4 linked regions of the Oryzias latipes genome follow. The protein of the gene in region 2 purifies or fractionates together with the protein of the main gene of each other region. This does not show direct contact. Links are inferred from orthologs where the notes say so. Each region holds a gene or a part of one and is shown on either strand. Other genes may lie near its edges.

Evidence for each region.
Region 1: the proteins of taf6l (region 2) and tada2b purify together in Homo sapiens (affinity purification with mass spectrometry; 3 studies listed by BioGRID and IntAct, counting the BioPlex papers as one, with this or other methods). This does not show direct contact. The link is inferred for Oryzias latipes from reciprocal best matches to the Homo sapiens genes TAF6L and TADA2B.
Region 3: the proteins of taf6l (region 2) and atxn7l3 purify together in Homo sapiens (affinity purification with mass spectrometry; 6 studies listed by BioGRID and IntAct, with this or other methods). This does not show direct contact. The link is inferred for Oryzias latipes from reciprocal best matches to the Homo sapiens genes TAF6L and ATXN7L3.
Region 4: the proteins of taf6l (region 2) and histone acetyltransferase KAT2B purify together in Homo sapiens (affinity purification with mass spectrometry; 5 studies listed by BioGRID and IntAct, counting the BioPlex papers as one, with this or other methods). This does not show direct contact. The link is inferred for Oryzias latipes from reciprocal best matches to the Homo sapiens genes TAF6L and KAT2B.

What each region holds. Positions count from the first base shown.
Region 1 is NC_019876.2:26,803,747-26,811,897, forward strand, and holds the start of tada2b (transcriptional adapter 2-beta), read right to left. Parts: upstream 4,329-8,151; 5' UTR 4,310-4,328; coding exon 3,956-4,309; intron 861-3,955; coding exon 1-860. Other genes in the region: ccdc96 (coiled-coil domain-containing protein 96), read left to right, coding at 4,529-4,918. UniProt on the Homo sapiens protein: Coactivates PAX5-dependent transcription together with either SMARCA4 or GCN5L2.
Region 2 is NC_019876.2:29,106,217-29,114,228, reverse strand, and holds the start of taf6l (TAF6-like RNA polymerase II p300/CBP-associated factor-associated factor 65 kDa subunit 6L), read right to left. Parts: upstream 4,916-8,012; 5' UTR 4,776-4,915; intron 3,215-4,775; 5' UTR 3,201-3,214; coding exon 3,054-3,200; intron 2,213-3,053; coding exon 2,126-2,212; intron 2,058-2,125; coding exon 1,907-2,057; intron 1,833-1,906; coding exon 1,782-1,832; intron 1,432-1,781; coding exon 1,337-1,431; intron 1,267-1,336; coding exon 1,192-1,266; intron 389-1,191; coding exon 168-388; intron 91-167; coding exon 1-90. UniProt on the Homo sapiens protein: Functions as a component of the PCAF complex. The PCAF complex is capable of efficiently acetylating histones in a nucleosomal context. The PCAF complex could be considered as the human version of the yeast SAGA complex.
Region 3 is NC_019866.2:4,612,177-4,620,050, reverse strand, and holds the start of atxn7l3 (ataxin-7-like protein 3), read right to left. Parts: upstream 5,460-7,874; 5' UTR 5,175-5,459; intron 4,616-5,174; 5' UTR 4,573-4,615; intron 4,485-4,572; 5' UTR 4,436-4,484; coding exon 4,385-4,435; intron 4,305-4,384; coding exon 4,172-4,304; intron 4,081-4,171; coding exon 3,909-4,080; intron 3,828-3,908; coding exon 3,730-3,827; intron 3,652-3,729; coding exon 3,629-3,651; intron 3,543-3,628; coding exon 3,497-3,542; intron 3,067-3,496; coding exon 3,029-3,066; intron 2,944-3,028; coding exon 2,875-2,943; intron 2,787-2,874; coding exon 2,743-2,786; intron 2,191-2,742; coding exon 2,119-2,190; intron 1,088-2,118; coding exon 951-1,087; intron 876-950; coding exon 676-875; 3' UTR 1-675. UniProt on the Homo sapiens protein: Component of the transcription regulatory histone acetylation (HAT) complex SAGA, a multiprotein complex that activates transcription by remodeling chromatin and mediating histone acetylation and deubiquitination.
Region 4 is NC_019869.2:22,460,508-22,468,601, forward strand, and holds the start of histone acetyltransferase KAT2B, read right to left. Parts: upstream 5,427-8,094; 5' UTR 5,300-5,426; coding exon 5,099-5,299; intron 3,666-5,098; exon of another isoform or gene 3,015-3,665; intron 2,941-3,014; coding exon 2,814-2,940; intron 2,739-2,813; coding exon 2,593-2,738; intron 2,514-2,592; coding exon 2,427-2,513; intron 2,342-2,426; coding exon 2,160-2,341; intron 1,505-2,159; coding exon 1,313-1,504; intron 936-1,312; coding exon 832-935; intron 734-831; coding exon 608-733; intron 482-607; coding exon 342-481; intron 272-341; coding exon 63-271; intron 1-62. Other genes in the region: ras-related protein Rab-5A, read right to left, coding at 7,589-7,704, 8,050-8,094. UniProt on the Homo sapiens protein: Functions as a histone acetyltransferase (HAT) to promote transcriptional activation. Has significant histone acetyltransferase activity with core histones (H3 and H4), and also with nucleosome core particles.

The sequences.
Region 1 (8,151 bases), about 2.3 Mb from region 2:
CCGGAGCCGAGGCCGCCCCCCCCTGAGCTGCCCCGTTTGGAGTTCACCACGCTCTTGTTCTCCTTTCGTTTCTCCCTCTTTTGGCGCGCTGCGTCGTATTCGTGCGACTCTTTCAGGCGCGTGATCCCGTTGCGGCGGTAGCGCTGCAGCTCGCGCACCTTGGCCCTGAGCGCACGCTCTTTGTGCATGTTCTCAAAGAAGTCCTCGAATTCCCGATGGGCCATGAACTGGCACAGAGCGCGCAGCCGCACCCGCTGCTCCTTCTCCTCCTTGGTGATCTTTCTTTTGGGCGTGGTCGGGATGGGAATGGATCCTGCCGCTGTCGCAGAGCCCACCCCCACCGCTCCGCCCACCCCAGCTCCGCCCACAGAACCCGAGCCTCCAGAGAGCCCCAGCCCTCCGGGCTTCTCCTTGTCCTTCTTGTCTCTGCCCAGGAAGACGGGCACCAGGTTGTAGTCCCGAGCGATGTTCTTCCGCCGCTGCCGCTCTCGGAGCTTGCGCACGTACATGTCCACGTGCGCGCGCTTCAGCTCGATCTCCACGTCTTCGTCGTCGTAGTTGACGGACAGCCCGCTGATGAGCTTCTCCGCGTCCTGGTCGTACTCGATTTCGTAGTCGTCTCGCAGCGGCATGTAGCCCAGCTGCTGCTGCTCGGCCAGGCTGATGTCCAGGGGGGGCAGCGGGGTGGTGAGGCTGGGGGACAGGGGGCCGCCGCTCGGACAGGTGTGGTCGGTCACGCGGTTGGGGATGCTGTCGGGGATGCACGCCTTGCCCAGGTTTCCGTGGATGTACATGGTGACGTAGTGCTCCATGACCTCCTGAGGACTGCGGGACGCCCCCACGTGAGCGGCCATGTCCTCCTGGGGGAGCACAAGACACAGGAACGATGAAGAAAACTTTGCCTCAGGACAGAAATTCAGCTCCAGGTAAAAGTAGATGCCAACTTTTAAGTCCCACTCTAAACATTGTCTTTTTCAATAGCCGGGCAAAAATGCATTCAGTCTGCCACCACTTGTTCAAGTTCTCCCTCATAAAAAGATGAGAGAGGCATGTAGTTTTAGTCATAGGTGAACCTCAACCATGAGAGACTAAATGAGGGGGGAAGAAATCCAGAAAATCACATTGTCAGACTTTTAAAGAACTTATTAGTAAATTATGGTAGAAAATAAGAATTTGGTCACCTACAAATTGCTGGCTCTCATAGACCTGGAATTTCTCCTGTGAGGGGATCCTCTGTCCTCCACTCATTACCTGTATTAATGGTACCAGTTTGAACTGGTTATCTATAGAAAGGACACCTGTCCACAACCTCAAACAGTCACTCTCCAAACTTAACTGTGGTCAAGAACAAAGAGCTGTCTAAGGACACCAGAAACCAAACTGTTGACCTGCACCAGGCTGGGAAGACTGAATCTGCAACAGCAAAGCAGCTTGAGGTGAAGAAATCAACTGTGGGAGCAATTATTAGGAAATAGAAGACACACAAGACCACTGATGATCTCCCTCCATCTGGGGTTCCTGTCAACATCTCACTCCGTGGATCAGAATGATCACAAGAACGCTGAGCAAAAACCCCAGAACCACACGGGGGACCTAGTGAACGACCTGCAGAGAGCTGGGACCAAAGTAACAAAGACTACCATCAGTAACACACGACGCCACCAGGGACTCAAACCCTGCAGTGCCAGACGTGTCCCGCTGCTAAAGCCAGTACATGTGCAGGCCCGTCTAAAGTTAGCTAGAGAGCATCTGGATGATCCAGAAGAGGATTGGGAGAATGTCCTATGGTCAGATAAAACCAAAATAGAACTTTTTGTTAAGAACTCTACTCGTCATGTTTGGAGGAGAAAGAATGCTGAGTTGAATCCACAGAACACCATAAGCATGGGGGTGGAAGCATCATACTTTGGGGCTGATTTTCAGCAAAGGGACCAGGACGACTGATCCATGTAAGGGAAAGAATGACTGGGGCGGTGCATCGTCAGATTTTGAGTGAAAACCTCCTTCCAGCAGTTGGGCATTGAAGATGAAATGGGGCTGGGTCTTTCTGCATGACATTGATCCCAAACAAACGAAGGAGTGGTTTCATAAGAAGGATTTCAAGGTCCTGGAGTGGCCTAGTCAGTCTCAACAACTCAACCCCATAGAAAATCTTTAGGGGGAGTTGAAAGTCCGTGTTGCCCAGCGACAGCCCCAAAACATCATGGCTCTAGTGGAGATCTGCATGGAGGAATGGGCCAAAATAGCAGCAACAGTTTGTGAAAATCCTGTGAAGACTTACAGGAAACGTTTGACTGCTGTCATTGCCAACAAAGGGTATATAACAAAGTACTGAGTTGAACTTTTGTTATCGACCAAATATGTGATTTTCTGCATTTTTGTTCTCATCTTGTCCCTCATACACTCATCTACTTACTTAAGAGGGAGAACTTGCACAATTGGTGGATGACTAAATGCCCCACTGTATTTTCAAAGCATAAATAGAAAGTAGCTGCTGGTTCCAAGAAGCCAAAATCCCATAGACTTCTACTGAGAAACAAACAGCCGTTACTCTGTCATTCTATTGGTCAGAATCAACATTCTTGCTCTGATACTTTTTTTTAAACATACTTTTGATCATCCTAATTTTTTCTGTAGTGTAATTTATTCAAGTAATAAACTAACCAATCAGATGCCTTAAAAAATAAAAATGAAAAGAAAGATTCTCCGGCTTTCAGTGGAAGGGGTGTGGACTTCCAACAAGCTCACTCCTGATTGGTGAGAGCGGTTGCCATCGGAATGTTGACTCAGACCAACTTGGACCAATCACTGTTGACTGACAACGTCTGGCTCCAACATGGCGACTTCCATATTGCGTAAAAATGGCGACTGAATTGCCTTAATTTAGCTGAAGTCAGAATTAAGTCGCTTTCCATGGATGAAGTCACACTCACTCAGCTCTCATGAAGAGTCAATGATTGCGCTCTGCCTTTGCCTAACAGCAGCTGGGATAGGCTCCAGCAACCCTGTGACCACAAAAAGGGGTTGATTGGGTTCAAAAAATGGATGAAACGTTTGACTTTAGTTACGGACCGTAACGGTTGTCACTGCACGTGCCGTTCACACAGTGATAGTATGTGTGCGTCGCAGTGCTGATACTTTAGATTAGAATTCGGAACCAGGAACAGGGGGACTTATCCGGACATTTGGGAGCCAACAGCATCTTACGTCTTTGGATCAACTTCACAGCTTCGTGAAAGCTACCGAGTGATACAAGTCCCCCAAAAGTACCACCTGGCAGAAATAAAGCCCGTAATAACATTATTTGATCGATCAAGAAAAACGTATCAATAATCGCCAAAGCACCTGAATAATGTCCTGTGATAATTTGATGGGAAGATGTTTCTAGAAGACAAAACACAAACGTTGATATTTGTACCTGTGATGACAAAGTTCTCCAATTGTTCTATCCAAAAATGTTATCGTTAAGACGTTGTTATTTCGGTGTTCAGAATTGAAAGCTCTACCAGATCTGTGGCCACCAGATTTGGTCTCTGGGTGTCTTGTGGTCCCAACATTAGTGAAAAGGGTTCATGAATCTGCTTTTACAAAGACAACTGGAGGAAGTTTCATTTAAAATGAACGGATTCTGCCAAAAATACTGAATCTAACCTAAAGAATTCATGTGGTTTAAGTCACAAAGTGAAGGCTGTCAGCTGGTTGGAGCCGTTTTAAGGCTCTGAACCCTAGAATGAAACGTTTCCCTCCGTGGTTCCGGGGGTTCGGTCTGCCAGGTGAACGTCTCACCTGTCAGTCACAGTCCTGCTACTTTCCAAAAAAAAACCGACACTTCTCTGTTAAGTTTAAACTATTACCGTCAAACTGTAGAGACACAAAGTTTATCAACTTATCCACCAAACCCGGAGGAGTTTATGAGGAAAAAAGCTCTAAACAGATGATGTCAGTGATGATGTACCCAGTTTCCGAAGCCGTACTGCTCGATGGCATCGAGCAGCGACTGCTCTTCCCTGCTGGTCCATCCTCCCTCCGCTTCGGGACCCCAGATCGAAAAGCGCCCGCCGTCGACCTGCTGGTAGCCGTGCCACCTCCGGTGGTTACCGATCTCTGCTCCCGCCGAGAAGCACTCCGGGCACAGGTCGATATCGGTGCACTCGGTGCACCGGAGCCGCAGGTTGGTGACATCGGCGAGGCAGTTAACGCAGTACTTTTTCCCCAGGTCGGCCATCTTGGCTGGGCTCCTGCTTCTTGTTTGTTGGAGGCGGAACCTCGCGCCTGCGCACATTGAAGCGTGCGGCGCGCGGCCCGTCATTGGCTCTTTGCCCCAGTTTCCAAGACAACGCAAACTAAACTCAAAGCGAGCTTTTTTCTCACCAGTTAGCAGTTTCTTTAGAATATTTACATTTTTCCAGCGGTTTAAACCCAAATGGAAGAATATTATTAAACATAAATATGGTGAAGGAAGAAAAAAAAGGTAAAGAAGAGGAAAATAAGGTTTCCAGCTGAAGCATCAACATCACAAGGGGACCTGATGAGCAGGAAGGTCATGGAAGAGGTTTCTGATAAAACACGTGACGTCACAAACAGCAGCAGGAGTGAGGTTCAAACCGGGTTCAAACCCGCTGCAGGGAGGGACGACAGCCCAGAGGCACAGCGAGTCCTCCAGGAGCTGGAGAAGGAGAACGAGGACCTCTCCCAGAGAAGTAGACAGCTGCAGAGGAAGCTGGCAAGATACGTCTGCAAAGCTGCAGAAGCAAACGCCAAGCTGAGGAGGAGCCCAGACCTGCCCAGGGACCGGTACGAGTACGAGGTCTGCATCCGGACCCTGAGCGCCCTGAAGCAGCAGGTCACGGCGGACTCAGAGTCCGCTCACCTGCAGGCCGAGGAGCTGAGCTCACAGCTTCAGGAGAAGCTGGAAAAGGTTGGTGTCTGCTTGAAACTGCACTCCTGCAACTTCTGACAGGAAGTCAATAGTTTGGGAGTTTACAAAAAAAAGAGTGTAGTGCAGGTACAAATGTAGATATTAAAACGTCAGATTTTTCAACAGTTTTGTCTGGATGAATATTATTTATATCCCATTTTGTCAAATGTCAAATGTGTTTCAGTAAAATAGGAGTTTTTCTGATGTTATGTTTAAAAAAAAAACTAAAAGTGTTATAAAGGTTAAAGAAAGTCTCTCATTTATTTATTTTTAGAAAATATTGATTCTAAAACAGCCAAAGATGAGTTAATGTGCAAAAAAAATGTCATTTTAACTTCAGTTCTGTTTATATGACTTTTTTTTATGTAACCACATTTCTAAATGTAAATAACTTTAGAAATGTGGTTCCATGTTTAAAATATCCACCTGTTTACTCAGTTGAGGACTTGGGGGCCCCAGGGGAACAACAGCATGGTGCCCTCTGCTGCATTTTTATTCATTTTTTCTTTAAAAATCCGAACCCATAGGGTAAAATGTCGGACAACCTCCTCACTGATCCACTTTTAGACAACATCAATGTCAAGAATCCAAATGTTTTGATAAAAATTTTAAAAACTTAAATGTAAAATAAAATGTGTTTCTTTATAAACATTATTTTTACTTGGAAAAACATTAAATTTATTAAATGCACTAATTTCATAATCCTCCACTTCCTAGAAGGAACAAATGTCTTTTCTTTTCTTTTTGTCAGGTTTTGCTAAAGAATAAAAAAACTTGAATGAAATAACAAAACAGTACAAAATGACATCTATAAAAAAAACCAAATATATTTAAAGTTACCGTTTGCTTTTCCTCCCTATGGCGTCCTTTTCTCATTTTTTTTTTACTCTTTTACTTTTTTTTCTCGCTCTTGTTATTTTATCCATCTTCCAGCACTTTTGGAGGTTTGGTAGCAAACCTCTTGCTTTCTTTAGTCCTCTTTTCCCTCTGCTTCATTTGATCACTTTTTAAAAACTGTTTTGAATCATCATTTAATCTCTGCCAGTGTTGCCAGATAGAGTCTTGGTTTTCCAGCCGAAAACTCACCTAGAAACCACCAGACCCAACAAAAAAAACAACAACCAAAATATTAATCAATGATTAATTATCAGTAATTAATCATCCATGATTTATTACTTCCTGATTTAAATGAAAGTCCAACTTTAACACATTTTTAATGATATTGCATCCACCATGTTTGCAGTTAGTCAGAGAAAAACATGAAATATTGGATTTCTATTGAACTTTACTAGCAACCACTGATGTTTTCACTTGTTTGCTCATCATGAACAAAAGTGGAAATTGTTTCTTGTATTTCGACTCTTCACGGATTTAGGTGAGATCAAATAAAAGCAAAAGTCCTCGTGAGACGTAAGAAGGAGGACTTTGATTTGTTTACACACACACATGCATTTAAAAGCAGGTGACGTTCACAGAGTATGTGAGAAAGTCATGTCAATCAGCTGAAACAGTCAGATTAGAGCGCCATTCCAATCAACCCGAACCCCTTTGATCATTAGGGAAATGTTCCAGCAGGGGGCGCCATAAACCAGTGAAAAACAATGTCTTTGTTCCTGAACTTGGCGCTAATTCTTTCCATTGGAAGGGTTTTGAAAATGTCTGTATAGATTTATAAAATAGCATATTTATTCTTTCTAGTCACGGTTATTAAGGGTTCAGCTTGGGGCCCTGGAGAGTTGGGGGCCCCAGGCGATCGCCCACCTTTGCCTATAATGTTAAGTTCGCCCCGGGGTCTGAATTAGAAAAGCTTTTAAACCTGAAACTTTTTTATGGTTTTCATGTTAGGATGATTAAAAAGCAGCATTTTTCATGAAGTGATCTGTCATGTGCACCTGCCCCAGAGCATGCTGGGAGGTTCCATGGTGCCTTCAGGTTCAGAAAGAGGTCTGCCCTCCACTAAGCTGCATGTGTGGCGTACTGAACCTCACTCTGGCATCCTGAGCCTCACTCTGGCGTCCTGAACCTCACTCTGGCGTCCTGAACCTCACTCTGGCGTCCTGAGCCTCACTCTGGCGTCCTGAACCTCACTCTGGCGTCCTGAGCCTCACTCTGGCGTCCTGAGCCTCACTCTGGCATCCTGAGCCTCACTCTGGCGTCCTGAGCCTCACTCTGGCGTCCTGAACCTCACTCTGGCGTCCTGAGCCTCACTCTGGCGTCCTGAACCTCACTCTGGCGTCCTGAGCCTCACTCTGGCGTCCTGAGCCTCACTCTGGCATCCTGAGCCTCACTCTGGCCGCTCTCTAATGTGTGAAGATCAGAAAAACTGTGTAAAAAAAAATCCACCATAAGGATTTGAAATCCTCAAAGTCCCGCTCTGAACTGTCTCTGAAGTTATTTTAAACGCGTTCCCAGTGGTCTTTTAATTATGATTTTGTTGTTTTTAGCCAAAAAAAAAAAAAAAACATGTTATTTTCTAAGTCATTCTTTCTGCAGAGCGGCATGAGTTTATTACAAATTCACCTCTGAGTTGTGATACAAAGACTGGGAGCAACATTGAAGCTTTCCAGTTCAGATGTTGGATTGAAATAAAGACGAACATGTTCTGTTTGTCTGCAAGTGGATGCATCAGAATGGAGCAGAGCAAGTAGCTTTCCGCCTGCCCAGCGTGTTTTCCACGTTACAAATAAGCTCCTTCACAACAGTTTGAATACAGAAATACTCAGAAAAGCTGTTTTAATGATAGTTTTCTTTATAAATGTCCTCCATCATGAGAAAAATGACACAAGAACATGTTAAAAACAGCTTTTTCATCAGAGTGAGTCTTTAACCCTAACCAAAATCTAACCAATATGTCCGCTTCTCTCATGTTTGGTCTGTGGAGGGGCAGTTTTTAGTTTGAACACGCCTTTTGGGAGTTTTCCTGCAAACTTTTGGCTCAGGAGTCTGCAACCTGAGGCCCCGGAGCCACAGGCTCTTTCATTCCTCCATTATGGCTCTTTGGCTTTGAAAAAAGTGCTTATCATTTCAATAAATAACAGGTTAGTTATGTTTTGTTATTTAACTTATACTTTTAAACTGAGGTGATCTTAAACTAGTAAAAAGTGACCTTTTTTTCATTTAACATGACAGTATATTGAGAGGCATTGCGATATTCCTCCAGAATTCACGTCAGATTACTTTAAAAAAATCAGATTCAGAGGGGTTTATCATTGGAATAAGTTTAAACTCATATT
Region 2 (8,012 bases):
GAACACAGTGGTCTGACCGGGTCAGACAGAACTTTCTGGAGGGAAAGCAAGATCTGGTGGTAGAGTCCACTCACCAGATCCCCGTGTGTCCTAGTGAGAAAGCCAACTCTGATTTCAGCTAGATGACACAGTTAGAGAACTGAGAAGGAACCCCAACAGTTTCTCACCAGAAGATGTTGCTCAGAAGCAGGGCAGCGTAGTCTCTGAGGGTCCAGTGGTCGTTGAGAGGGTTGATGGAGGCCGCCAGCGGCTCCAGGATGCAGTACATCACACTGGACACCAGGCTGCGCACGTAGGAGCCCAGGTACAGGTAGGGGTTCTGGACCAGGCTCCTCACCATGTGGAGCAGTCTGTTGAGCTGCTCCAGGTCATGGCTGACGGACTTCACCTGCAGCAGGACACTGACGTGTTGGGACGACTTCCTCACAGCTCCTTCCCTTTTTGTGTCTGAGGGTTTTATAGCTTCATTTTTTACAGCTCAGGTAAGTTTGTTTTCTTCAATCAGCGGGGTCAGGTGTGCCGCAATTCAGTTTCACCTGATTGGTGTAAAAAACATGTTTCTGCGTTTGATTGGTGGGTTTGGTGGTTTAACCCCTCCCCCCATCCAACCCCTTATTGCCCAGAGGCTTCGTTACGACACGGCTGTGGATTTGAACTCCCGGGTCGGACACTCTACCACAAGGCCACTCAGCTGGTCAGAACGACCGTCTTTTCCACAGCTTCAGCCAGGTGTTCTCATTTTGGGAAAAGTTCGATCCCTTAAACTGCCTCGGCCAATCACACGTCGTCCTTGTGACCAATCAGACGTGGGGAACGTCCTCACCTGTCTCCCCGCTCCACCTAAAACAACAGCTACAGGGGTTTCAGAGTCTGTCCGGCATCAGCGCCTGGTTTTCTCATTTCCCATGATTCATTGGGATAATCTCCTATGCTACATTTACACCGGGCTCAGAAATTTGGACCTCCTTGTTCAAAACCTTCAGGTTCACGATTTGCTTTGCAAAAGTTGAACTTTGACCAATCAGGGACTCGATTTGGAAGCGGCTCATGACCGCCACCTTTTCTCCTTGTGGTGAAGTCGGAGCTGCATTTGTGAAACCTCCTCTGCCATCAAAGGTTTCTCAGATGAACAATTCCTCAAATATCCACGATCTGAACCTCAAAGTATCCGCTGATCAGAGAAAAACTTACTCCGCTGATGACGTAAACAAAGTACGGCAGCAAGGCAGCGATCTTGGAGTTGGACTGGAGGTCCAGCAGAGCCACCTGCGGGGCGCAGAGACGGGATGAGCGGGAAAGGCTTCACTCGTCCGCGTGAGACCCGGCGGGGGCTCACCTTCATGAGGTGGGGGTCGTCTCCCAGGATGGCTCGAGTGATCTGCTGGTAATACTTCAGCAGGTCGTCCGACAGAGACTGGACTGCAGTCGGTACTGTGAGGAGCCAACATTCAGAGACAAACGGGTTTCTGCTTTAAGAAGAGAAAACCTGAAGGACTTTCAACGGATTCTAATTATGTTCTAGCTAAAGGTTCCTGGTAAATGATGACTATTCCTCTAAATGCAATAATCACATCCTGAGGATCAGCTGTCCACATCATCCGTTCTTGAAGCTGTTGATGGAGGAACGTCAGCTCCTCTGAGGTTTTTAGGCGGTTCAGTCAGAACTCTCTGCAGTGTTTGGACCTGGGGCTCCTTAGGCCCCCCCTTGATGACTCACTGCAGTGAATTTCCCCAAGCAGGCGGTAAAAAAGGCGTCCTTCACACGTACAGCCGGTTCTCACCTGCTCCCTGGAGCTCCACGCCTCCTTTCCCATCCAGGTAGGCCACGTTCACTGCCACAAAGCAGAGGCGCCGCGTTCAGTGCGAGCCTTGGCTCGTGTGTCCGCACGCGTGCTCGCATACACACCTCGCACCATGGTCTCAGCACAGCCTTTGGGGATGTTGGTGGCCAGAGCCAGCTCGATCAGGTTGATCTCCCGATCGTCCACGAAGAAAAGCTCTCCTTCTTTCCCCGAGCGGAAGGGCAGAGCGTCCTGGGCTCCGTAGCCACAGACGGCCTGATGAACAAGGGAAGATGTTGAAGGAACGTCCACTTTCACTCACCACAAAAACACTCGGCGCTTACTTCCACATTGCTCCACCGCAGAGCTCTGTTAAAGTCTTCCACCGTCAGCTTCTTCCGTTTGGCGTGTTTCATGAACTGAGAGCAGCTCTGAGTCAGACAAAGGTTGAAGTTAAAGTTCCACTACCTGCCCCACACCTAGGTGTGTGCAATTTGTTCTCTGCATTTGACCCCTCCCCTGGGGGAGCGGTGAGCTGCAGACACAGCCGCGCTCAGGAACCATTTGGTGGTTCAACCCCCCCCAATCCAACCCCTTAGACATTGGGTCCCATTTTTAGAGTCTTAGGTCTGACTCTGCCTGGGTTTGAACACCCGACCTTCCAGTCACAGGGCAGACACTCTACCACAAGGCCACTGAGCTGGTAAAAGCAAAACACCCCCAAAAGGAACAGACCCCCATTTAACGGGACTGTAACCAAACGAGCCAGCAGCGCTAAACCACAGATGGATCACATTCGTCGGTGTTAACTTCAGCATCGGACGATGTTTTTGTAGTCCGATATTCTCCAGACTGTTTTCAGATACACTTTATTTTGAAATGTAGACTTGTTCCTAGTAGATCCCTGCCAAAGGGGAGCTTATGGTTTACAGTTGTGTCCAATATTCAATAAATGATATTTATACAAAAGTTTTAAAGTGATCCTTGGTTGTATGTTAAAAAGGTCGATGTGATTGTCCAGTAAAAACAAAGGTGTGCGATTCTAATAAAGGAACAAAAAGGAAATCTAAACTTTGTGTTATTGTAGACTGTAGACTTTTAACCGGTTCCTCTTCAGGTTCCTGAGCTCCTCAGACACTGATTTCAGCTGCATGTCTTAAAGTCTTGTTCACAGCGGTCTCTGTAAGGTCTGGTGTAAGGTCTACAAGTCCAGAATCTTGTGAAGTCACGGTTCTGTTCCCGGTTTCCTGCGTGCTTTTAGGCAGCACTCACCTGAGCAGCCTCTCTGAGTCTGTAACAGACGTCCTCCGCCAGCACGGCCGCCATCTCCTCGCCAAGTTCCACCCCTGCACTCTCAGCCATGAGAGCCACCGATTCCCTGGAGACCTGAGCAAAGCGCCGCTCCTCCCGCTCGGCCATGGTTGCTGTCAGAGCTGCGAAGGGGACCGAACGACACGCCGAAACCCATTGATGGGTCAATTCACACACTACAATCACTGAATTTTCATGTAATTATATAAAACAGCAAATATAACACAATAAAACAGAGAAGTTCATCCATTTCCCCAAACCTTTCATGTGTTCAGACTAGATTTTAAAGTGCAGGCGTCAGCGGGAAGTGAGAGTAGCCGTCACGCCAAAGCCCAAACCTGACTAAATGAGCTGAAACTAACAAACGGAACGTGGAATAAAACGGCTCTTTGTGGTTGGCTGCGGCTGAGGAGGCGTCCAACAGCAAACAGGAGTCCATCCTCTCTAATCGGCCATCAGAAAGCGGCGGGATTCTAGCGTTGGACGATGAAAACCTTTAGGATACGCTGATCAGATCAGCATGTGGCTCAGGTTTGACCTGGCAGTCACATCAGGAGTTCAAACTAAAATGATGCAGAATTCCCGCCCTAACTACTAAAATCTATATAGTGCAGCTCTATGTAGAGCCCTGAATTTTACAAGTCATTCAGACGCCACGCTCACTACTTTTTTCTTTAAACGGCGGATATGATGTCATCGGTTTCAGAAGGTTAAAATCTAATTAATATGAGTACTTTGGGACGATTATGAGTCCACTGTCTTCTGAAGAGAAAAACGTTGATGGTTTATTAAAAAAATACATTTATTTGACAAAAAAAAAAAAATCTGAAGCAATGCATTGTGGTCTATATTTGCATCGATGCACACAGGTTTTTCACAGAGACTCCTGGGAAGTTTCCAGGGCTCTGGATTTGTAGATCAGGACAGCACTAGAAAAAGGGGGAACACAGCATCTAGTGCAGTATTTACTGAGTACTGACGGATTCGGACACAACCTGATTTAGACTTTACTATCATTTTAATACTTGCTAGTTGGAGTATTTGGATTTATATTAGGTTAAAAATATTTAATAAAGTTATGTATCCATGTTCATGTTTTTATGACTTTAGACTGAATGACTTCTCTGAAATGTTTTTATTCTGCATTTATTTTCTTGTTACTCTGTATTCGTGACATATATTTACATTCATGCTTTTGACTCTAAAGGCCAGCCGGAAATAACAGTTACAGGGTTCGATTTTCCTGAGGCACAGATATGATGATGAAAGCTTTTCTAAGGGGTTTGACACAAAATTCTGCAAATCTGTCAACATATTTCAAGCCTTAAAAACAACCAGCAGCCTCACACGGACGTACAGAGTCAAGAGAGCTGAAAGCTGCTGATGGAGAAAGAAAGAAGCTAACTATACAAAGATTGAATTGTTTCAGTACAATTGTGTTAAGGTGGTGACAAAGAAAAACATTTAACTGGATAGAATTTTGTATCTATCATTTTAGTTTTATGTAACTCAACATAGAGCAGCTTCGCCCTGAAGGAACGTGAAGAAGAAGCATCGCTAGCGGCTAACACAGCAACAGCCGCTTGTTTAGCTAGCTCGCCAGAATAAACAGGACAGAAGTCACAAAAACCAAAACTTTTCAACCCAAACCAGTGAGAATGTTTTACAGAACTGGGACTTTACCTCTTTTAAAGAATGCATGGACAAATATCCTGAAGAAACGCGCGAAAAGCTACTGCGATTTGGAAGAAGGCTGTTGCAGAGCCATTCTCGAGGATGTTCAACACAGGATTTCCGCTCAAATTTTCAAAATAAAAGCAGCTCACTAATCCTGATTGTGCGCCTTTTTTTTTCATTCCTTCCCCCCGAAAAACTTTATTAACAATTGAGTTATCATACATAGATCAACAGTAACTATATGAACAACGTTATAATTTTGGGACTGAAAATAAAAACAGCTTTTTGTAAAATGTACTAAAAAGTGGTTTAGTTTGCAAACATTTATTTTTGTGAATATAAAACTTTCCTTTCAATATCAGGACATGAAGAACAATATTTTTCTGGTTCAATTGGGTATTTCCACCAGGATTTTGCACCGTGGACTGTTCAGTCAATCCCCTCTGGGTTCAAATGTTTTCTCTTTCATAGATTATCTTAAACACTAACGATAGTATTACTAATTTCATTTTAAATCATGAACAAACACTACATCAAAAGTGAATGTCATCAAAATAAAATAACAGTCCAAAATGTCACATGGTTATGTTTTGGTGATGAAATGCAGTTACTTTATTAAAGTTCATGTTTGAAATTATAGCTTAATTCTTTTTATATACATGTGCATCAGTCCGCTTATGGTGGGGCAGTGGTCAGCACTCTCACTTCACAGCAGGAAGGTCCTGGTTCAAATCCCTCGCTGGGTTTCATGTTTCCCACTGTCCCAAAACATCCTCCATAGGTTAATTGGTGTCTCTAAATTGCCCCCAGGTGTGCACACGAGCGTGTGATCCCGCGACAGACTGGCGTCCTGTTCGGGGTGAACCCTGCCTTCACCCAACAAGCCGGGTCGGCACCAGCAACTCTGTGACCCAGAAAGGGATTCAGCAGGTCTGGAAAATGGGGGGGGGGGTGCAGAGCTTAAAAAAAGGTTTTATGTTTCAATTTCCTTCCTAAAAAAGTACAATTATTTATTTCTATGTCAAACAGTTTTCCTAAAAATGCATGAATTGTTGTTTAATATTTTATTTCTTAAGTAAACTGGGAGTGTGTGAAGTTTGATTTTAATTTGAGTTCAAATTTCATTTGGAGAATGTTGAAGACTATAAATTCTTTACTGCTGTAGGAGTCTGAATGAACAGAGGAGGAGGCCACCTGCTGGTGAGAAGAAGCTGGTGGAATGTGGAATTGGTGTTGTAGCTGCTGCCTGAGATGATGATCATCAATATTTAAGGTCAGGCTAAAACACAAAGGAAGGTAGCTGTCCTGTACAATGCTAAAATCATGGAACAGATTTGATTCAAATGATGACATTTATTGAAAATCCTCCATAAAAGTCCTTCCAGCACCTCTAAAGGTTCAGAATCTGGATCATTCTGTCGTTAGGGTGAACCGGGTCTCGTGCTGCTGACTTGAAATCTTTAGACGTTGCTGCTAAAGTCTGCGTGTGTCCCACTCCTCACAATGACTTACTCTGCTATTTGGTCTGAGTGTGAATGCAGCATGTAAAGTGAAACAGACTGCGTCCTGTTCAGGGGGGATCCGCCTTCGCCCAGAAGAAACCCAGTAACCTTGAAAATAAATGGACTATGAAAAGTACCCTTTGATATTAAGGTCAGGGGTCATTGCTGGCCAAACCTTTGAGGCCACGCCCACTTCCTGAAGTCCAGCCATTTGGTGGAGATCATCATCATCCATGGAAGTTGGAGATGTTCTGGTGGTTCTAAGATGTCTCTGAGGTCAGAACCTGCAGGGACCGGACCGTCTACAACACACGTGTCAAACTCAAGGCCCGGGGGCCAAATGTGGCCCGCCATGACATTTTATGTGGCCCGCAAGAGCATAAAAGTTTTAAATTTTTAAAAATAAAAAAGAAGATTTAGTTGATTACATATTAATAATGTATAGCTGCTGTTGTAATTGTTCAATGTTTGCAGCTTTTATGTTTGAATGCAGACAAATTGTTGTCATCAAACCATCAGTTGGATGCAAAGCTGTGTGCAGCCTTTTTGTCAAATGTTGCACTATAATTTATGTTCTTTGCAGCTCAGTTTTATGTTGTTTTTCTTTATTCACTTGGACAGTTTGATCCTTCATTAATGGAGTTATGTGGGTTTTAATAACCAGACAATGTTTAAAAGGATTTATGATAGGGTAACAAGCAAGCATATGTTTAATATGCAACTGTAATTGTCACTTTAAAAAGTTATAGTAAATAAATAAATGAGTTATTTAACATTAAGGCGTAGTAACATTTATTTTTTATTGCATTTAGTTACATGTAGAAGCTATATCTGGTCCTTTGAGGACAGACACTATGCTGATGTGGCCCTCGGTGAAAATGAATTTGACCCCCCTGATCTACAAGAACCAAATGGGTTTTGTGCTGATTTTAAAGTTTGGCAAATCCTTCCGTTTGTCTCAAACTGCAGAACAGCTGTTCCTCTATCCAAACAATTCATCTGATGACGTCAGAGCACCGATTCTGCTGGTGAAGGTTTGAACTGACGACATGAATTTAAATCTCCAGAGTCTCTAAATGCTCCTCTGTCCATCGTTTTCAGACCAAACGGAAAAAGCACTTCTGTAGATTACACAATCAGAGTAGTGCAGCATCTTCATCATCCTCATCGTCTCTGCTGTGCGCTCAAGTTTGCATTTTTTTATTAACATTGTTTTAACATTGTTTTAAAGATGGCACGTTGCTGCGTTCCCCGCACACCTTTCAAGTCGTCCAAGGCTGGATTTTATTGTTGGACGTATTTAAAATTAAACTTAAAGTCCCAAATGTGTTGAAGGCTTGCTGTCCCACATAAACCAGAGAGGGTAAAAATAAAAACAAAGATAAAATCAGGGGACCTTTTTTCATTTTTTAGGCAGCCCCTAAAGGGGAAAAACAAACTGAAGTAAAAAAAAAGAAACGCAGGCTGAAACGACCCAATTCCCATTTTTTTGCCCCTATGCGACATGAATCTGATCATTTCATGACAGTCTGAACAACACAGATCCGATCTTTTCAAATGCGACCGCCGTCTGAACGGCCAGGCTACATGTAGCCGACCCGTACGTCATCGAGACGCTACAAACATCATTCTGCGTTGAAGTTGGCGGGATGAGAACATAAACATCAACCATGGAGGACGATGCTGCAGAGACCAGTCAGTGGAAGGGAAGCAGGTCACCGATTGGATTCATATTTGGGGT
Region 3 (7,874 bases), on a different chromosome or scaffold from region 2:
CTGCTGCTCCCGCTCCTGACGACTTCCTCTGCAGACAGGAAAGATGGAGCAACCAAACAGCCGGCGCTCGCCACATCAACCAGTCACAGTAAGGCGTCTGTTCCTTTGCCAAGTGTCGGAACCCTGTTCAAGTTTTCAAAGCTTCACAATAAAAGCTCTGAAGCTGTTCCTGTCAATGCTACGGCAAACACCAAACAAACGTAGCAGGAAGTGATCTGATAGGTTTATCCCTGCTTTCTCCTTATGTTCATGATCAAATAAACCTGTGGTTAAATAGAGTTGGTGAGTAACCTGCTGCAAAGACAACCTAATGAAGTATTATAAAACTGCTTAGTAACTAAATCTGTTTACCTTCAGGTACAAAGAATCAAGTATAGAAAGATTCTTTCACTCTGTTCTACGTCCCTCTTTCAAATCCGTCAGACACTAAAGAAAAATCTTTTTTGTTTGTAGAAACTCGTAGATGGAGATAAACTGATTATTGGAGTCTTCATCTAAGGAAAACACGTTAAACCGGCTGCAACCAATTAGCTGGAATGTTGTGGTTTGAGGTGAACTGAAGAATTTGGACACTTCACCAGAAAATGTTAGATTCCTGTGCTGCTGAAGGAACGCTCCACCACGGCGTGAAAGGAGGGAGTTTACTGAGGGGCTGCTCAGACAGACGGGCTCATGCTAGTTTAAGTCATCATAGATGCTTGAAATGGAAGGTGCTGTGAGTTTGGGCTTCTTCTTTTTGGTCGATAAACTGATGTTAGTCTGAGAGCCGCCGCTGCCGCCACCGCCGCTCAGACTTCCAATCCCACCTCCGCTGTTCAGTCCCAGAGGCGGCCTCTTCTTCTTCTTGGGCCTCCTGGAGTCTGAGTGGTTGGTGCCTGTAAGTGAAACAGAAATCGGTTCCTTATCCGTCCTCAGTTTGATCGGGAAAGGACTTCCGGACGTCTCCTCACTCGCTTTGGAAGAGGCCGAGTCAGACGGAGAGATTTCCGGGGAGTCCTCCCACTGCAGCCGGCTCATTAAGGCCTGTCCGTCGGGAATGTCGAAGCTTTCAGGCCCCGCCACGGAGTCCGCCTCGGGCAGAACCGGCCTGTTACGCAAAACCCAAAAAACAGAGGAAGACCTGAATCAGGTGAAGCCACAATAAAACACAACAACACGAGTTCCCACAGCTATTCAGCTTCTTTGCCCCACGTTCTACATGAAAAAAGTACGGTGGCCTTAAGGTGCAAACGCATTCAAGATCACAACAACAATTTACAAAGTCAAAAACTAAAAAATTATTTCAAATAAGAAAGAAAGATTTCAGACAATCTCCTGAAATATTAAACAAAGAAAGAAACTGGAAGGGGTTGGAACTATGGGACATCACTGATTGGATGATGATGTTTTGAGAAAGAGGGAAAGGAGGACGACTGGAGCAACGGCTGAACTTTAGCGGTGGCTGCGGCCAGAAGCTTCAAGAAAATATCTTCTGTCGGAAGATACCACCATGGCGTATACTTATATAGCGCTTTTCTACCTACAAGGCCCAAAGCGCTTTACAGTCACACACACATTCACACACTGGTGGCGGCTCTGCTGCCAAACACCAGGCCAAGTACCTTCCTGTTGAAAAGTACCCAAACATCATATGATCACGGTCAGCTATGCCCCACAATTCCTGTTGGTTTCTGGAAATGACTTTTGTTTTTCAAAATGTTCTTTTTTTTATGTATTTAGTTCATGAAAAGCAGAATCTGAAAGATATACCACTATAAATAAAATACCAAACCGCTGAAATGCTGGACGCAATCGCCTCATTGGGCTTGAAAAGTATAAACGCCACTCATAAGTTTGTCGCAGTTTAACGTGGACAGTCACAAGTAAAACCCCATTAGGAACTAGACCGCACGATTGGTCGGGGGCGCCATGCGACTGATAGAACGGCCGATCGCTCTGAAGCAGAAACCAGCCTCTACAGTGAAAACATGAATTCAGGTTCAGACAAAGAAATCCCCAAATCAGTGAGAGAAAGCAGACTGAAGGAAATGACTTTCTGTTGAGATGAGCGGTTGATCCTCTGCTTTACTGCAGTGGATCATGGGTATTATCGGGTGAGGTGGGGGGAGGCACACTCACGCGGACGGCCCCAGGAGGAACACCCTGACGGCCATCCTCTGCTCGTCCGTGTGCTGAGGACATCGCTGAGACCTGGAGGGACACAAGGTGGCATTACATGACCCTGACTGACGGCGTGCCCACACCCACCGCACAGCTCCACGCCTCACCCCGGGGGAGGCTTCCCATGATGCTAACGCGTCTCCTCAGGCAGACGGACGCATTAACCTGCGTTTCTGAGGAGGAGGGTAGCACGATGGAAAGCGGCCCCGCATGCAGGAGGTGGGACGGACTGCTGGGAGCCGGTCAATGACCAACACCAAGACGTTTGGTCAACGACCGGAGCCGTCTTGGTCCAACTGACGCTGATGTTTGTCCGCTTTTATGGAAGACTTTTGCAGAATTTGGTTTTTGTTTTAAAAGGGAGAAAAGAAAAAATCTCCAGGTTGCCACTTGTGTTCCCCTGAGTTAGTCTCTACACACTCAGCGTGATGACAGACAGGTCGACCTTCCCAAACTACAGGGCAGGAAGACGACAACCCTACAGCAGGTTAGTCTGACAAAACAACTACAAGTTACAACATCCAAACAAGAAAATGCTCTGAAACTAGAAAACAACTAATAATTTTGGATATTTCCAACTACCTTGTACACATCTTCTTCGTGTGCTCTGATATGACCCCACACTGCTGTGATAAAAAAGACAAACACACACACAGACATGGTACATTATGCTGAGAAATGAAATTTTCCTGCTGATGTGTTTAAGGTGCTCACTGTAGTTAGAAAGGATCGGACTTCATCAGGGCCCAACATCTCATAATTGATGCCAGCGTTGTAGTTGTACTGAAATGGAGAAAACCCCAATCAGTGAGGTGCACAAAAACGCCCCACAGCCCTGCACTCGTAATGGAGGAGAGGCGTCAGTCACCTTGTAAGGATCTGCACTCATGCTGCTCCCAAGCTCACCTGGAGGAGGAAACGTGCAGCTCTTCATTCACAAAACTGAAGCTTTGTGTTAAATCACGTCCGACAATCAAGTCAATTCTACTGTCATTTGTAGTCCGACGGCCTTTCTCTTTACGGAACTCTTATTTTGAAAAGCCCACTGAGCCGTTTCAAGTAAAACAATACATTGAAACTTTTCACTGCTAAGCCGTTAACTTTCTCCTTTAAAAAAAATGTATTTTTCTACTAAAATATTCAACTGCAGGCCAACAAAATTCTAACCAAAAATAATCTAAGTATCCCTCATTTTAATGAAATTTTAACAAGATGAGCTTGTAGAAGAAATTTAATTAGACTGAAGCAAATAGTACTTTAACCAGTTTCTCTCTGTTGGGAAACAACATATTTTTGATATTTGTTTTAACAGGATGCAGATTTCTGACCCACTTACCGTTTTTGTGTTTCAGAGTTTTTGATCTTCTTGGGGAATTTTGACTCTGCAAAGAAATATGTATTGTTTTAAATAAGACTATTTTACAGAATAAAACGAATAAATTGTGTCAAAAGGTGATCAAATCAATACCTTGTCCGATTTCCTTTTCTTTGCTGAAAAACAAAGTGTGCACAGGTGTGTTTATTTTGTAGCGTCACCGTCCGTCTGTATTTTGACGTTTCCACGCTCACCTCTTTTTTCGGCTCCGTATGACCAGTCGTTATCGTTAAGGTCATCGTTGTCTTCTTGGTCGCTCTCCGATTTGCTCGTGTTGTTGTTGCTGGCGAGTCTGGCCAAAACGCAGAGGAAAACCGCGAGTGTGAACCGAATCAATAACAGCGCCTGACTCAAACGGTCGCCACCGACAAACCTGCGGTTGGCGATGCGGCTGCTGTTGCGTCCCATACCCAGACATTTCTCCAGGTGAGGAGCAAAGCGGGAAGCTGCGATCAGTCTTTTACAGTTGGGACATTCACACTCTTTGTTCTTCCACTGATTGTACACCTGTCCAAAGATGTCCACTCCTGGTTGGTCCACGATTTCTGAAACACATTTAAAAAAAACAAAAAAACAAGTCAAGCAAACACAGACAACGATAAATGAACAGAATCAATTGGACCGAACGGGACAGACCAAATTCTTTCATGCTCTCTTGGTCCGTTTCATCCAGAAAGAAGTAGCCCTGCTTCACAGCACGATGCACCTCGAAACACAGGCCCAAACACGCATCTTCCACCAGTTCAGAGTAGATGTCGTTCACCAAGGCCTGCCAGCAGACAAGACACTCAAGTCAAAGAAAAATGGTGGGGTTATGTAAAATGACCAAATGAGGTGATGGGGATTCACCTCCAGCTTGGTGTTGTCTGGGCCTGAGAGAGGCATATCCTCCATTTTCATTTGAAAATCTATCCAGGATATCTTGATATGGAGGTGATGAGCTGGTGTCCTTCAAAATAAAAGTTCAACAATCATTTTAAAATAAGAAAAGAAAAGGTTTACTGGAAACAAGAAAATAAAAGTAACAAACATCTTACTTTTACTTTGAATATCAAGCCTTGTAGCAAAACTTTCTTCATTCTGATCAGGAGAAGGAAACAGAGGAGGATGAACAATCTCCAAACAAAACAAATGCAGGTGAAGAAGCTTTTTCAGGGGAAAAAACAAACTTTATTTAACATAAGCAAGCTGGAAACTAAATAAATACTCCATGGTAGCTCAGCCTAAAAATACTACAGTAAACACATCCAGCTGGGTTCAGACAAACTTCCATTAAGTAATAAATAATTGAATTTTCCATGTAGACCAGGTTATAACCGCTTTCCCCTCCTATTTAATGAGAAACAGGAGGTGTAAATGAGTTCTTATTTATTAATTTTTTAATATATAATTGCATCTGGTCGAATCTAGATGTTATTATACTAATTATACTTTAAATTGTAGGAATGTAAAAGCACTTTCTTCCTTTTTTATTATTAACAGTTTAAACACAAACATATTTAATATGTTTAAAAAAAAGTATTAGTATTTATGCCTACAGACAATCCTTGGATATATTTTCCTCGTTTGTCAGACGGTAACCCTAAAAGAGCAGATTGATAGCATCAGAATTCGAGCGAAAACTGTTTCCTCTTCTTACCCGGTCGTGCCAACAACAACTCAGCCTGAAGCAGGCGGTTTCTCTGGGAGAAGCCACATAACCGGTTCGGTCCGGATGAAACACGCAGACGGGATGCTTGTCCTTAAGTCGCAGCCATCGTTACGATTTACGGTTTTATGCTTCTGTTGTCCGAAGTCAGAGCTGCCGCAGGTGGAGGTTAGCTTAACTGACGTTAGAAACCCGCTTGACATCGAACAGGCCGACAGCTTGGCCACACACAGCAGTAAAGCGAAGAAGAATAACACGGACGGGCTTCGGGTTTTACTTTCAAAAAATAAAAGCTGTATGTCGTAAACGGTGTTGGATTTAAAGACAAGACTTTGGGATTTGGTCATAATTTCTTCTTATTTACTTTACAATTATTTACATATATCAAACTGTCAACCGCGTCACAGAGGAAAATGTAATTCAGAAGAACTTTCTTCAAAAAAAAGAAATTACTAAATTACTCTGAAGGTACATATATGTGCTTCCGGTTCTATTGTCACGCTTGATTTAGAACCTTCCTTTATTAACTTTAGCTATAGATTTTATAGACTTTCTATAGATTCTATAGACTTTTAGATTTTATTATCAAATATTGTGGTTAATATACATCACGGCTGCTTAGTACTTGCCCCATTCAGAATTTTGAATATATTATTAAACATAAATGCCTTCCAAATTAAAAAAGTGTATTAGATTTTACAGCTTTTCAACATCAAATAGTTGATTTTAGGGTTTTCTGCGTGTTCTAACTTTGAAAACAAAAATTTCCTTATTTAGATAAGCAATGCTATGATTTGATTCAAACGCATATGGATTACTGTTTGATGAAAATATTTCAAAGTTGCAAACTGGAAGCAAATAGTTGAACATCTCAGACAACATTAAAAGTGTTGAAATGTCGTTTTCAGTCTTTGCATCCTTGATATTCATGGTAAAAAAAAAGTGAAATGTTTTGGTTACATGGATGTTTTGCCTACTCAAAAACATAGCATCTTTTCAAGCTTTTTTGTTGTTTATTTGCTCAAATACTTGAACTACAAGGACATAAGAACACCCGGCCTCAGCTATATAAAACATCAAATTCTGTCAAATGGTCAGCAGTACAAACTTGTAAAGCTTGGCTGTTATAGAGATCTCTAGAAACCAACAGCTGGCAGAGGAACAAAAAACAAACGGGTGAATTTAACCAAAAGTTCCTCCTGAAGAGTGAAAGACTCACCGGCTTCCAATATCACAGATGAGGGTTTCCAAAAATCAAAGTACTAACAAAATAATAAGCACTCGATACAAAAACTGTATTTACAGGGGGAAAAAATTACATTTTTTATACTCCAAGTCCACTGGCAAAAGCAGTTCTGCAAATCCCTTTTCCAGACCTCCCCATGTCATTTTCCCTTTCCCTCTTCCAGGTTTGTCAATAGTCTGCGCTGGTTTTGTTTAGCGAGGAGATTCGCTGCGGTTCCAATCCTCCAGATCGATGCCTCTCGCTTTGTCTGAAAAGCCAAATCTACGGCGACGTTCATTTAAAGTTCAAGTTATAGGTGACTCGACAGTGAAGACCTTTGGACGAGGAAATGTCAAAAAAAATTGAAGAATATCTACATTCATGGTGTTGGTATGATGTCCCACATACATACGTGCACGCCGTAGTCCCATGACGGTGTCCAACAGACGGCACACATTAAAGCAAAGAAACACACATCCTAAAACAGTTCTGTGCGTGCGTGCACAAACTCAGGACAGATTTACAATAAGTGCACACTTTTTTTTTTTTTTGGATAAGCTTGAGACGGAAACCCATAAAGCCAACCCCTTAAAAAAAAAAAAAAAAAAAAAAAGTAAAGATATCTGGAGAGGGACAGTTTTAAAACAGATTGAGAAATAGATGCATCGGATTTAAATAATTTTAAAGAGACAAACAACTTCAGTTGTACAGTCACTCTGAGGTCTGGACAAGCGGCTAGTCAAAGTCCTTAGAGACTTAAGGATCCAAATTCTTGTGATCCACAGACAACCGTTCTGTTTCCAAAGCAACAGAGTGGATGTAAAGAGCTGCAAAGACGCCGGTTTCTGAGGAGGATTTCATTTAAACACACACACAAAAAATAAAATAAAATAAAAAACGAGCTGATCGAGGAAGTGATCACTGCTTTTGAGTTTAAGGAAGAAAACATTTTTTTGTGATTAACCTGAACTTATTTGTTTCAGGAGAATCACATTCTGTAAAAGTGACACAAAATCCTTAACTGGAGGTGATTACAGTTACGGCTTTAAACCTGTTTAATATGTCAGATTATAAACAGTTCAAACCAGATGTGAATTCTGTTCCGACATGGAATGGGCTTATTACAGCTAATATTTACATCCACCAGGCCTCGATAGGTGCGATCAGACGTAACAGTTTACAAAGCTGTGGGACAGAAGCCTGAGGGCCGGCTGAAGGACAGCTGATCCTGAAAGACGAATGGAAACCGAGCAGAAGTTTGTCAGGAAAACAAATAGGATAAAGAAAACATGAATATAATGTATGCATGCATGCTTTAACACTGGGCTTTTACTCTAGCAGCATTCCCCTAAATTCACTGAAACTGGAACATAAAAATAAAGGTGTATCGTTTACATCAATGTTTGTTTATTCTTGTAACAGCCAGTTGTGTAGCTGTGGTTTAACGTTTGACCGGTCGGCTAAAA
Region 4 (8,094 bases), on a different chromosome or scaffold from region 2:
TTATTTAATTCACTCAGAAGGGTCTTGCAGCAGTTCGGAGTCGAGAACAGACGTGGACTCACGGGTCAAACACCAGCCGTGTGATGTACTCTTTGGGCATGCGGGGCAGCTGGTGCGAGAACACATTCTGAAGCCCCACCAGCCACATCAAGATCCTTTTGTTGGGCTTTTGGTTCAGCGAGTTCCCGATGACGTGGAACTCAATCACTCCTCGCCGCTCCTCAAGGCGCGCAGCTTCGTCACGAGCCGAATGAGCAGACAGTAGACTTGTCTGAAAGAAAAAAAAAAAGCATAAAGCAGTGGAAATGGTTGAATTGATATTACACATCCTTCAAAGCTACCTCTGGAATGGTGGCAGGGTCGGTGATGGTCGCCATGACTTCGTTGATGAGATCCATGGGGATGTCACCCATCACCCGTGGTCTTTTGTTTTCTTCGTGGTGAAGGGGTTCAGAGGCTTTGCGTTTTTCTCCCACTACGACTAAATCCAGACAATGCAAGAAGGTATTTTAGTCACATAGTGCAAATCAAGCATATAAAATGAACCTGTCGAAAATGGACCCTGAGCTGCCTTTCCAATTTCTTTGCACAAATCCTGGGTTCCCACCTGGGTTCGACTCCAAAGTAGGGTTGGGTTTCCTGGCAGGACTGACGCTTCCGCATGTGGATGGCTCCACCGAAACCGGACTGGCGCTGTAGTACAGTGACCTCGTCACTGGGGGTGCGCTGATCACTGGGGAAGATAGACGGAAATAGAAAAGGATTCAACCACAGGAGCTTGGAATACCAAAAACTAGGAAAAAATCGTTGGGTATAGGTAGTTTTTTCTACCAGTCTGAACGGGAATCTGCCCGCCTGTAGTTCCTGCCAAAAACTCCAGACTCCAGATAGGAGAGCTGTGACTGTACACCTCCTCCTCCAACATCGACAAGAACCTAGAAGAAGAAATCAAGCGTGACTTAAACATGTAACTGCATTATTTATCAATAAAGCCAGGATTTTATCATCGGTTTTTGTGCGTCTGTGACGCACATAACGCTATAAGTTAGTTTTGCAATGAAAGTTTGAAATTGATTCAATCTTATGAAAATGTAATAATCACTCTGTGACTTTGAGTGGAATGGGTTCATAAGAATGTGTTTTTTATATTTCTAAAATATTCCTGGTCCCTGTTGTGAGTTATTTTCAAATTCTAGTTCCTTTAGTTTTAGTTTATTAGCTGGAATTTGAATTACTGTGATTTTTAACAGACAGTTCTTAATAGTTTCTTTGAAAACTTGTTCAGTTTGTCTGAATGCGGCTGCTGTCTTACTTTGGAAAGTGTGTCAGAATGAGCGTGCGCTTCTCTGGGGGCAGCTTGTCCTTCTCCTGCCTGGCCTGCTCCAGCAGCTGCTTCCTCATGATGGTGAACACAGAACGCAACAGCGTCCGACCGAAGATCTGGGTGGTTTCGTACCGCGGCAGGCTGTCGCAGAACTGGGGCACATTGCAGTAGCACAGCCACCTGAGAAAGGGGGACCCCTTACTTTTTGGATCTCTGTGGTTTGACCATTGACTGTATCAAAGAACTGGACTGAGTGACACCCCCCTCCCCGTGTTCCAAACAGGAAGTACTCACTGGCTCCAAGAAAACATAATCCCATAGACTCCTATTGAGAAAAAAAAAGCTGTTACTCATTCTATTTGTCAGAATAACCATTCTTGCTCGGCTACTTTTTATAAACATTTTATAAACACTTTCTCGTTCTCATTTTTTTCACATTGTTTCTGTTAGGAAAGTTATTCAAGTTATGAACAGATTGATTGTTCTTTGCGTGTTTTTTTTTTGTACTTCTTCCACGGTTTTAACGTGGTTCATTCTTGATAGATCTGTGAACATTTTGCGTAAAGACCACTACTTTTCTCCCCTTTTCCACACATATTCATATATGACCAATTTTCACATGTGTAATAAGCGTCACACGGCCTTTACCAACGTCGTCTGGGTCCAACATGGCAATGTCCGTATTGCGACTGAATGATGACAGAATTCACTGCATTTGGTTGGAGCCAGAACTCATTTTTTATGGGTGACATCACACTCACTCGGTCCAGTTCTCGTATACATTCAGTGGGTTTGACTGAAACCTGCGCGGGACAGATGGGTTCATGGTCGGTACCTGGTGTAGTTGACTTTGTATCCCGCCGTTTCCTCGTTCGGAACCCTCTGGCGCCTTTGAGACGGTGTTTCCAGCTGCCAGTAGTTGATTTGGTTAAGAAACATCTTCGCCAGCTCCATGATGGTTTGACGCTCTTTTGATGGTAGATGGCTAAATTTGTACTGGACAAAGTTGTTCACTCCCTATTGAATTAAAATTTAAAATAAAAAAAGAAATGAATCTTACAATTTAGTTAAAAAAAACCCCACCAGGATTTCTTTAATTCACCTGTTCAATGCTGGGTTTTTCAAAAGGAGGACTCTCTTGTGCTTCCAACATCGGTTTACCCATCTGCAAGATGGATTTCCTTAAAAGCTGAAAGGCAAGCCGCCGTTGGTGAGTGAGGTAACAGTGTTTATGAAAAAAGAAAAAAATGGTGACGCTAGAAATGTACCTTAAACAGTGAAAAGTAGACTTGTTTAGTGTCAGCATCCTCCTCTTTGTGGACACACGTGTACAGGTATTCCACGTCCAGGACGACACCTAGGAGTCGGTTCATTTCCTCTTCCGATATATTTTCTAGATGGCTCACGTGATCGCCTGTGAGGTGACAGAGGCTGGAATCTTCCAAGATCTGAAGGAGGATTATTGCAGGCAACTGGAAATACAACATACCCAGAGTGTGGGAGCAGCTGCGGCAGGGCTCCTGTAGGTTCACTGTGTTGGTCTGCTGGTCGGTTTGGGGGGGTGTGGGAGGGGGGTTCTGGCTTTTCCAGCCATTACATTTACAGGGCCCCTCAGCCTATAAGGAAAAACATTAAAATTGTTATATCTTTTTTATTTCATTTTTAAATATACAATCATAAACAAAGTTACCTATTTTATTTAGTTTTGATGATACCAATAATGAGCTATGTATGCTTTAGGTAAAGACTAGAAGATGGGACATTCCAAAAGAGGGCCTACCACCGCAACTGTTGGCGACCCCGTCTTCTGTCTTTAATCAACACTTTTTCCAAAACGGCTTTGTAATTTTGCCAGAATGATTAAATCGATACAATTGCCAATGTTCATCTCCTCCTCCCATTGGAATTATTTGAAGACCAACTCCGATTATTTTTGATAAATTATAAAAGCGTTCCCAGTTACGATTTTAGGCAAAATTTTAAAAAACGGGTCATTTTCTAGGCAGAAAACATTGGCGTGTAGCAACCCCACCTCCCTTCCCCTCCCCTTTGTTGAGAGTTCTCCGTTTACACTGTCTCCCACTAGCTCACAGCCCCTCACAACCCAGAGTTAACGTTAACAGTGCAACAAAAATGTCAAGCAATATCAGAACTATCCTTCTGAAGAGTTTTGTGCCAGACGCTAGCTCGGATAAAGAAAACGAAGATGTACAAGTCGTCTACAAATGGATGCATCAGAATGGGGGGGAGATCACGGAGCATTTCGCCCGCACAGTGTAATTTCTACATCCCAACTAAAACCTTTTTCAGACTGCATTCTTTCGTCTGCTCTTGATTCACAATGATTTGAATAAAGACTTAGAAATGCAATTTCTAACTTAATTTTCTTTATGTTTGTCTTTTTTTCATGAAAAATGTCTGGAGAACATATTAGAAAGACAAAAAATACATATTTTCATCGCGTGGTTCTTCCTAAATTCAGTTCCTGATCTCAACCTTTAGGGGGCAGTAGTCACAAACATTTTTTTGTATTAGCACGCGCCAAATAAGATTCCACTAAAATTATCTCCAGCAACAAATACGTCCCTATTTGTAAAATAAATAAACTTTTTTGCTTTTCTAATTTAATAAGTAGCATGGGTTTTGAATACTCTTTTTAGTCTCAATTGTATCAACGTTTTTTTGAGCCACAATTCAAAGTGATATGCAATTCTCAATTAAAAATTCAATTTGCAATATGATTATACGATTTAACCCTTGTGCTATATTAGATGACCCCACCCTTACATTGACGTGTTCTTCCTACCATGACAAAGGTGGATAAAGGTGGAAAGATTTCATGTAATCCATGGACACCAGTGAAGATCACAAATCATTGAAGAAAAAAGGTTCAGAGCACTGTCTAGTGGGTCTAGATGACCCAACTCCCAACGTTACAGTGCCTAGGATAGCACAAGGGTTACAAATGCATTTTTTCAATATTTTATTTTTAAAATTGTCATATTGAAATATAAATTTAGATATTGAATCCTAATTTTCAAAATGTGTTTTCGTTTTCCAAGCCTGAAATGTCAATTCACAATTAAATTTTACTCTAATCATGACTTAAAATGCCTCCATACAATTGAGACAGATTTCCGGAGGCGACATTTTGGGGGAGGAGCAGGACTGACACCGCTGTCAGTTGGCTACGCTGTTCTGCGCACGCGCTTGGAACTACAACAAACTCCGCCCACCGCAGCAGCTGTCACCCTGTCAAAACAAAGACCCCTTCCCTCTCTGCGGATCACCCGCCGCACAAGCCCAATAACCTGCTCCGTGCTTCCCCCCGCGCTCCGTTAAACGCCTCGGGCAAGCGTGGAAAAATTCCTGTAGTGGCATAAGCGCGCACGTGACCACAAACAGAAATTTTTTTTTTTATTATTTTTACCTCCGTTAGCTTGTTACTCCTAAACAGCGCGAGGCGACCCCCTCTTTGACACACAGTCACACTATAAACGCTTTCCGGGGGGAAGGCACTACTTTAAGAGTCCTAGTGTGAACTAAAACAAGCGTCACGCGCGCCGCAGTTTTAAAGACTCCCCTCTCGGTTGTGTACGGAGGACAAAAATGAAGAGGGGAGAAAAAGTGGGGCAATGGCTTCCTCTGCTGGGTTTGCATATGATAATGCGATACTGAACTATTGCAACCTAACCTCAGAGGAAAATCCTCCAAGACCAACGCGCACTACAAACTTCACTGTTCCGGCAGTCCGTCCACTGCGGGAGTGCATACTTTGCATGACGAATAAATTCCGAGTTTTTCCAGTTTCTTCGGCCGAGGCGAGGAGCGGAGTTGCGCCTTCTTCGCGACGATACGTGCGGATCCTCCAGCGGCGCCGGAGCCTTCCGTTCCCCCGGCACCGGGGGCGGCTGGGACAAGGCCGGCGGCTCCGATGGCCGGCGAGCCTTGTTGAATTCCAGCGCTGTCGGCCATTATCCCCCACAAAAAACCCAGAAGGCCCGGGGAAAGCTCGCAGCGCCGTCCGCTCTATTCCACAAGCAGAGAATCAGACATGGCGCTCATCCTTATTTTCAATTTCTCGCTGTGGGGCCGATTTCCTCCACTAGGGGGCGCAGCGCTGATCCTCTGACTTGCACACATTTCAGAGAGGTCACAAAATGCAGGCAAAGAATTTCAAGGTCATTTGTCCATAATTTTAGCACATTTTCAGACAATAAAGCAATGAAGCATAAATAAAAGTAAAAAAACACCGAAAAAATAAAAAAAATGTCAAAGTAAAGTGACATGAGGTGTATATACACAAAAAAGTCGTACCACAATGACAAATGATCACATTTATTTCAGTATTGATTTGGTCATTACATAACAGTGCTGTCAAACACTTGCATTTTAGACTATCCTTTAATGCAAATAAGTATTTTCACACAAAAAAATGCCATCTTTAAGTGGTTTTGGAATAAAATAACATTTAAAAAAATCCAGTATGGTCACAAATCGCTCCAGGCCAGTGGATTTTCATCCTTCTGAATGTGATATCTGATTGTGGTGCGTATCGAAATTCCTCTCTACACACAGGGAAAAGAACAAGGCATCATTGTCTCTGTACACACACACACGCTCACACAACACACGCAACACACAAAAGTTCAGATAAACATTTTTTTATTTGGAGAAATGGATTCTAAATAAATGCTATTTTTTTGTTAATATCACTACATACATAAAGACCACCACTGTTTATTATGCATCCTTGTGTGTGGGAAAAAAAAAGGTCCAAACTGAGAATGTAGCCATTTTTTTTAAACTACACTTTTTGTCTTCTCCTTGATTATCTAAACAACTCCCTAGCAAGCAGTAGTTGGTAAAATGAAAAGAAAAAGGGTAGACTACACTGCAACATGATATTTACAGTAAATTATTTATATATTTATATTATGTATATATTTATAATCACACCTGAAATTAGAGAAATTTTATGAGAATCATTAGTGCAAGACGTGAATAAAACCGATCTGTAACAAAAAAAAAAACAACAAAAAAAGACTGAAGTCTTAATGCCGCGGGTGTTTATGTGACAATGTGTAGGAAACGGACCAATAAGGTGTAACAGACAGAATATGAGCTGATCTAGAGCAGAAAAGAGCTCGGCGGAGAAAGTGAATCTGTTTTTGTTTTTATTGTGCAAATGTGAGTTCCAACGTGCACACACACACACACAAACGAGTGTGTTGTTTCATCTCCTTCTGAAATTCGTCACCGTTTCAGGCCCAGATTGCGGATAATGACACTAGTGTGTCTAAAGCACTTTTTTAAGATGTCAAATAATTATGATTCCAACATAATTACGAAGAATTCATACATATTGCAAAGCTCCGATCATCACTCTTTTTAACAAAAACCCTGCAACAACTGCGACAAATCCGTCAGACGATCCTGGACTTAAATCCCCCGTCTGAGCGCATGAGGGTCTATGATAAGACATAACACATCAGGTGTGGGTGAGTGAGGAAGGGGTTCCGCTGTGCAGCGCTGGTCCTGGCAGACGCTCACCTCAAGAGTAAATACTGCAAAACATTGCACAATGCCGCTATGGACAGGCTACAGGCAGGCACAGAGCCATGATGGAGCCCAGAGGTGTGGAGAGGGGAGAAGAAAAAAATAAATAGAGTGAATTTAGTGGAAGTGAAGGATACGGACAGGGTCAGTGAAGGGAATCAGATTTTAAAAAAGCCTTTTGTTTCTATCCGTTAAAGTAAAAAGGGTCGAGAGGGAGCACAGAGTTCCACCACCTCCCCTCTCAGATTCAGAATTCTTCTCCAACAGACTTTGTTAGAACACATTTGTCTCTTTTGACTTACCCAGATGGGAATTCATCATTTCCACAAATCTAAACAATGATTAACGTATTAATAAAAACAAAACAGCAGTTAGGCTTTAAGCTATTCCAGTAAAAGGGATTCCTCCACCAACAACTCTCATCTGCTTAAGCAACAGGGACGCCTGCTTCTGTTCTCAATCCATCAATTCTACTTGATGGACGAGTTGGTGGCATAAAAGTAAGACAAAGTGGTTAGGAGGCTTCATCGGGTCACGGTACAGAAAAAGTCGAAGAGAAGGGGGGGGGCAGGATGGAGGGGTTAATTGGGCGCAGGATATCTTTTCTGGCTTCAAACAATGACTGACACATTGTTTTAGTAGCTTCGGTGGCACGAGCCACATCAGTAACTAGTATGCAGGTGTTGGAAAACTGTGTTCTTCCTGTTAGTTGGAGCAGCATGGAGCCTTGGCCGGCTGGGCGGCTTCTGTCAGGTCCACTCCACGGTTCCGCCCGCTGGTGGCTCCTGGAGCCTGAGGCTCACTCTTCGGCAATCTCTTTGCTAAAGAATAAAAAGTCACAAAAATGTGAAAAAAAAAATACTTCTTTTAAAAGTTGTTTACAAATAAACTATTTTATTTCATTAAAAAATAGTGACGTAGAACCAGCCGACATTGGATTATGCAGTGGATTATCTCCCTGCAGTGACTCATGTCTGGCGGATTTGATGAAGCCATGATATTCGTCAACGCTCTATTATTGCTCAATTGAAGAATTGACTTGTGATCACAAGTCTCAGTAACACACCCACTGTGCAAGCACTTCTATGCAAGAGAATACAAACATGCGATCGACCACAATGTCTCCTATTACAATAGAAAAACATGAATTCATTTGAATTACCCACCAATTGCCATAAATATCTCATTGACATTCATCGATGTCTTGGCTG